Linked DNA regions of Ovis aries. The protein of the gene in region 2 interacts with the protein of the main gene of each other region in a pairwise test. Links are inferred from orthologs where the notes say so. Each region holds a gene or a part of one and is shown on either strand. Other genes may lie near its edges.

Region 1 (3,677 bases), on a different chromosome or scaffold from region 2:
CGCGGTGGGCATGAGGCGGCGGTCAGCGCAAAGGAGGAGACCCGGCACCCCGGGAAGAGGGGAAAACGTTCAGGAAGAAGAGGCCCGCCTCGCTCCCCTCAGCCTGTGCGCACTTCTCCCCGCGCTCGCAACCTCGCAACCGGCAGCGCCGCCTCCACCTGCGCCCAACGCACGGACCCCACGACTCCGTCCACCCGGGTCCCCGTAGTCGAGGGACGTGCTGCAGCCCCTCACCTTGGCTCGCTTCAGCAGCTGGATGATCTCGGCTTCGGCGTCCCCGGCTGCAGCCCCGCCCGCGCCCCGTCGCTCCTGCTCCGCCGCCGCGGGCCTCGAGGACCAGGCGAGCGCTGCAGGAAGGGGCACTGAGGTCACCGTGCTCAGCCCAACCAGCCCGGCCCGCCCGGCCCGCCGGCCTGCACCCCTCACCTGCCAGCAGCGGCAGTAGGCCCGAGCCTCGGCCGCGCGGCGCCCCTCGGCACGGCGGCGCCCGAACTCCCGGCGGCCCGGGCAGCAGGCACACCGGGTAGCAGCGGCCCCGCCGTTCCGCCACCCGCAACAGACCTCGGGCCAGGCCCACAGCCAGACGCCGGTACATGGCCCCCAGAGCGTCCTCTGCGCACTGCGGCCACGGGCTCCGGAAGTCCCGCCCCTGGCGCCGAACGCCCGCCGATTGGCCGGACCGCCCGCATGCGCCGGGACGCAAGTCTACGTCACCTCGCCTTCCTCCCCTGCCCCGGAGAACGCGGGACCGCCATGGCGGCTCCGACTGGGCCTCTCACGTTACCAGCTGTGGTGGAGGAGCTGCTGAGCGAGATGGCGGCGGCTGTGCGGGACGGCGCGCCGAGTATGGGCGGGGGCGCGGGAAGCAGCGCCGGCGGGACGGGGTTCGGGGGTCCGGGCCCACTGGGGAGGTCTCCGCCCTCTTAACTCGCCTGTAGCCCTTCCTTCCCGCGGTCTGTGTTTGTTCCAAAAGGTTCCCCTCCTGACCTCTGTGCACGAGTGACTGTTTCAGGGCCCCAGATGCAGGACTTGAGGGGTCTGGACGCTGTGGCTGTGCCTTTATTCCTCTGACCAGCAGAGGACGCTCTGTGACCAGACTCCCCTGGCCGCAAGCGCACGGGGCCAGAGCGCGTCCCCGTTAGAGCTGGCGCCACCGCCGCCATCTGAATGACCATCCAAAACATCGGTTAGGCTTCAGTGAACCTTGCTGGTTCACTTGGGCGGCGTTTGTTTGCAAAGGACCGCACTTTGAAAAGGATTTACCTTGACTTGTTTTTTAAAGAATTGAGAGGAGGAAGCCAACTTTTCTCATTTCAGTTAAATCTAAAGCAGTACATGTGCTTAAAAGATGAGGCGAGCCAGGTATTCGAACATCCTCTAATCCCAAAAAGCTTGGGGGAGAAACCAGTCTGTTGACAGCTCAAACAGTGGTTGCCAGAAAGGGTTGTGTGTGAAGAGCACAGTGTGAGAGTCTTGAAGGGGGCGCCCCTGAGGCTTGGGGCTCATAGAGACTACTATCACCGATTCACGTTTTTCAGAGCCATTTTCTTCTAGTTAAAAATCTTTGTTCTTAGACAGTCATACACTCTTCCTGAGCCCCCTCCTTCGACGATAATTTTCTTTAGATCAGTATTCTGAGTTTACACTTATATGATGTAAAATATAGTCACAGCTGAGCCATGTAGTAAGTGATGACTACTTCTTTACTGTAACTTTTTGCTTCCTCTCAAAACTGTCATGATTGCATTTGTTTGGTTGTTTACTTTTCTATATGTTTATCCCTAATTCAATAACTTCCTTTTAGCTCAGATGGTAAGGAATCTGCCAGCAATGTAGGAGACCCAGGTTTGATCCCTGGGTCAGGAAGATCCCCTAGAGAAAGAAATGGCAACCCACTCCAGTAGTCCTGCCTGGAGAATTCCATGGACAGGAGCCTGGCGGGCTACAGTCCATAGGGTCGAAAAGAGTCAAACATGACTAAGTGGCTAACACAAACACACACACATCCATAATTCAACTTCAAACTCTTAGCAGTGTTCTGAATCCTCTACTCAAGATGCTGAGGTGTTTTGTCCATTTCATTTTCTTCTAGAGCTTCCAGGGTGCTCTCCTGAGATCTCCCCCACCATTACTGTCTAGGGAATTCCCTTTACCTACTTTGAGCCTTAATGTTTTGTATACTGTACAGTTTTCTTTTTCTCAGTTTACTGTCTTATTTTATAGAGCACATATTCTCCTGTCCTGAGACTTAATTGATAGTTTGGCTAGGTGTTATTGAATTATATGTTGGAAATATTTACTCAGACATCTTAAAGTAGTATTCTACTACCTTCCAACTTAAACTTACTTTCACAGTCTTATTTTAGCCCTCCTGCTTCATTCCCACTCCAGAGCCATCTGGTGCCACCAATTTCTGGAGGGGTTTTTTTTTTTTTAGGGAGTGAGTGTATTAGAGTCTGAAGTGCAAATCAGGTTGTTGCTTGGCTCTCCTATTGCTAACTTGTTTCAGTTTTCTCAGGTCTTGTAAATAATTTTTGAACATATCTTAGCTGTGTTTCTCCCTGTCCTCATCCTTGAGAGTTTATTCATTTTAGAAAATTCTTGTATTATTGTTTAGTGGAATATTGAGTAAAATTTGATGCATAGGTTCAGTTCACCATCTTACACATAAGTCTTTTTGGTTATAATATCCTTTTAAAAATGTTTTTGTCTCTGGTCACTGGTTTAACACAATTTACTTACTTTCCATTCCTGTTTTACAGTTCCTGATGAGCATCTGTTATCGTAAGTATATATCCTTTTGTATTTGGGGTTCTTTATAAACCACTAATGTGTGTTTTTAAAGGCCAGTTCTTTCAACATCAACTCTTTTTTTGTTTTAGAAAATATTCTTACTAAGTTAGGAATAATATTTTATTGATGTGATTGTTAAAAATCTGTCTCAAGTGAATAACCAGCACTGTACTTGACAGTACAAGGCACTCCCTTATTGTCCTAAGTGCCACTGTATTTTAACATTATTCTAAAAGGTGTAACTCTTATACTACTAACACATGAAAAGAGAAGGACATTTGACCCTTGAACAACAACTTTTACACATACACTGCTTGGGGAGGCCTGTTTCCTGAGAGGCTAAGCGTATTTAAGAAATAAAATGTACTAGGTACATACACTAGAATATTATCCAAAAGTTAAATTTTAAAATATATGTTTATGTATATATATACATGCACACATACACACACACACACACACATATATATGTGCATCATTCTCAGAAGCACACTGAATGGGAAAAAAAGTTGCCAAAAAGCCCAGAATATACTGTTCATGTTTTTAACTTAGAAAACATCACCATATGTATATATGTTTGTGTGTGTATGTATGCACATACACATATATACTGTGTATAGTAAAATATAAAAACAATATGAAATGTGTGTGGTTGCCTTGAGAATGAAGAAATTGAGGAAGAACAGGAAGGCCTCTGACATATAAAGAGTCTTCTTTATAAACAACATGTTAACATTTATTCTGGGCGGTCGATTATGTGGGATTTTGCTGTATTATGTTTTTTTCCAAATTAAAATAAATTTTCAGAAGCTGCTGATGGTAATCCTTCGGGTCGAGTCGGAGAGGTGGCTTTCAGTCCATCATCTAACCTGAGGCTCCTCTCC
Region 2 (3,008 bases):
GGCGCTGGAGGTACTGAAGTGAATATGACAAAGAAGGTCCTGCTGTGGCTCTCCCTCAGTCCCCCAGCCCCGGCATCTTTGCCTCTTCTCTCTCTTCTTTCTCTGTCTCTTTTTTTTGTTGTTGTTCTATGGTCCTGCCTCTCATTGTACCCTAAGCAGGACTCAAGAAGCCCCCAGGCCAATGAGGAAGCCAGCTGCGACTCTTCTCACAGACCCTCAAAGGCACTCCTTTGCGGTCTGACGGATGTTCTGCACATGAATATCCTCAAGCTTGCAACCCCAAACACACACACATTTGTGCAAGCATTCATTCAAGTGCAGAGAGAGACAGCGCATAGCTTATCCACTTCTCCCCTTCACTGTCATTAGGTAACACCAGCAGAAGCGCGCGCACACACACGTTCATCGCAGTATTCCTGAGATACCATGTGCTCCATTCTATAGGTGGGCAAAGCTGAGGCTCAGAGATTTTAAGTAATGTGTCCGTGATTAGGGCCTGTTCCGTCCAACTCTCAACCCTTTTATTGTCTGATTAGCTGCTTAGCTCACAATAATAGTGTTCGTGGTGCTTCCGCCAGCGGACTCACTTACGAGAGGGCCTTATCGCCCTGAAACGCCTCCATTTGTTGCTCAAACTAGGTTATTTGCCCCTTCACCAGGGGAGGAGCTAGGAAACGTCGATCTAACTTTGAGGAACAGATTTTTGGACTAATGAAGAAGCTAAGTGCACTGTAACCAATGAGACCCCGCCCTGGGCGGGATTAAGGGCAGGCACCGGCCGCCGATTGAACAGAAGTACGCGGCAAATGGCGGAGACGCTGAGGCGAGTGCTGAACCTGGGCAGCGCGGCGGGCCCCGGGAAGAACACAGCTGAGGCCGAACCGCCTTTGCTGTTGCTCGGCGGTCCAGGCTCTGGAAAGACAGCTCTGCTATTCGCGGCGGCCCTGGAGGCGGCAGGGGAAGGCCGAGGCCCGGTCCTCTTCCTGACCCGGAGGCCTCTTCAAAGCCTGCCCCGCAGGACTGGACCGGCGCTCGAACCACTGCGATTACAAGTAGGGGACCAGAGGCGGACCAGCCCGTAGCGGGGCTAATCGGGGATTGACTGACAGGCGGAGACAGACCAATGGCGGAGACGAAGCAAACATTGTGGGAAGGAATATGGACGAGTTGGGGATGGGACTATACGAAGCCTTGTTAAGATTGAGTGAGAAGCTATCCAATGAGGGGGCAGGATCCACAAATTTGCGTTCCAAGGGGTGGGGTCAGGGGCGGAGCCAAACAAGAGTCCGCGGTGGAGGCGGGCGCTATGGGCAGGTTTTACGTGGAAAGATTGCCCTAGAGATTTGGCAGAAAGGCATACCTGTTCTTAATAATACCAGGCAGTGACGAGTGCAGGGTAAGAAAAAAACGAGGGTAAGGGGTTGGTGAACAGAAGAATATTCGATCCCTCTGAGCTGCTTCACGCTCGAACCAGAGGTCTAGTGGGTGAGAGCCTCGTCCAGGGGAGTATGCAAGGAAGCAGCGCTGCTCTAACTGGAAGCCCCGCTTCCCATGCTGAATCTGGCCCTTTCCTTTTTCCCTTTCTAGAAGATCCGCTTCCAGTACCCACCCTCAACCCGTGAGCTCCTCCGGCTTCTGTGCTCTGCCCATGAAGCCCGTGGACCAGCCCCTTCACTGTTGCTGCTTGATGGCCTGGAGGAATACCTAGTAGAAGACCCTGGGTCCCAGGAAGCCGCCTACCTGGCTGCCCTGCTTCTGGACACAGCTGTCCACTTCAGCCACCGGGTTGGGCCTGGCCGGGGCTGTGGGCTCATTGTGGCCCTCCAGACCCAAGAGGAAGGAGGAGACAGTGGAAATGCTCTGCAGCTGGCACTCCTTCAGAGGTATTTCCCTGCCCAGTGCTGGCTGCAGCCGGATGCAGCAGGCCCAGGACAGTGCTGCCTGCGAGCCTCCCTGGAGCCAGGTGGGCTGGGCCCCAGGGAAGAATGGTGGGTGACTTTTCAACCAGATGGAGAGATGACAATCACCCGATGGCCCACCCAGTTGGTTGACACCAGCTCGCACAAGGGTTCAAGCTCTGGAGGCCAACCATGAGGTTTGGAGTGTGACAACTTCTCTATGCCTGTTTCCCGGTCTGGAACACCTGCGTCAGTTCAGTTCAGTTCAGTCGCTCAGTCGTGTCCGACTCTTTGCGACCCCATGAACTGCAGTATGCCAGGCCTCCTTGTCCATCACCAACTCCCGGAGTTTACCCAAGACAGATGCAAATTCAAAGCCCTTAAGATTGTAAAGTGCTTTTTCGCTCGTAAATATACCATTATCCTGTATATATTGTGCCCAGCCAACATATTGTTGAATTTTTCTGTTTTGAATTTTATAAAGAAGAATTTCATGATAAATGTAATCTGAAACTTCCCTCTCAACACTGGTACTAAGATTCGGCAACATTTTCATTCATTCCTTTTTCCATACTGCATGTAATTCCATGAGTGACTATACCCTACATTAGGTATGATCAGATTGACTTATTTACTACTATTACCATTCATACACATATCCTGGTCCATGTGTGTGAGGGTTTTGTGGGTACATATCTAAAAGTGGAATTGCTGGAATAGAAGGTATGCTTTCCTAGGTTATGTCAAACTTTTAAAAAGCAGTTAAGCCGAAACTTCCAATGAGCCACTTGATTGACTTTTCGTGTCATCAGAGTGCTTTCTTAGAACCAGACTTGGAATAAAGCCTTAGGAATTAATGTTAGTATTAGTGGCAAAGACTAGCTAGCTGCTCATTAAACAGCTCGTCTCTCCTGGGTGCACAGCTGAACTACATTTCCCAGCTGTCCATTGTTCTTACTAGAGTCACATGACCATTTCTAGCCAGCAGAATTTGTGAAGATGTGGCACCCACCTCCAGGCTACATCCCTAAAGTGGCCTACAAAAATCTGCTGTCTCTTGTTGGCTGGAAGGATGCAGAGGGTCCATCTGAAGACCCCAGAGTACCCCTA

What was found.
Region 1: the proteins of SWSAP1 (region 2) and ZSWIM7 interact in binary tests that used the Homo sapiens proteins (3 or more experiments, as listed by UniProt). The link is inferred for Ovis aries from reciprocal best matches to the Homo sapiens genes SWSAP1 and ZSWIM7.

Annotation. Positions count from the first base shown.
Region 1 is NC_056064.1:33,237,782-33,241,458, forward strand, and holds the start of ZSWIM7 (zinc finger SWIM domain-containing protein 7), read left to right. Parts: upstream 1-726; 5' UTR 727-753; coding exon 754-844; intron 845-2,762; coding exon 2,763-2,784; intron 2,785-3,677. Other genes in the region: TTC19 (tetratricopeptide repeat protein 19, mitochondrial), read right to left, coding at 235-347, 427-595. UniProt on the Homo sapiens protein: Involved in early stages of the homologous recombination repair (HRR) pathway of double-stranded DNA breaks arising during DNA replication or induced by DNA-damaging agents. Required for meiotic progression, hence for fertility.
Region 2 is NC_056058.1:13,500,004-13,503,011, forward strand, and holds SWSAP1 (ATPase SWSAP1), read left to right. Parts: upstream 1-791; 5' UTR 792-806; coding exon 807-1,052; intron 1,053-1,587; coding exon 1,588-2,094; 3' UTR 2,095-2,423; downstream 2,424-3,008. UniProt on the Homo sapiens protein: ATPase which is preferentially stimulated by single-stranded DNA and is involved in homologous recombination repair (HRR). Has a DNA-binding activity which is independent of its ATPase activity.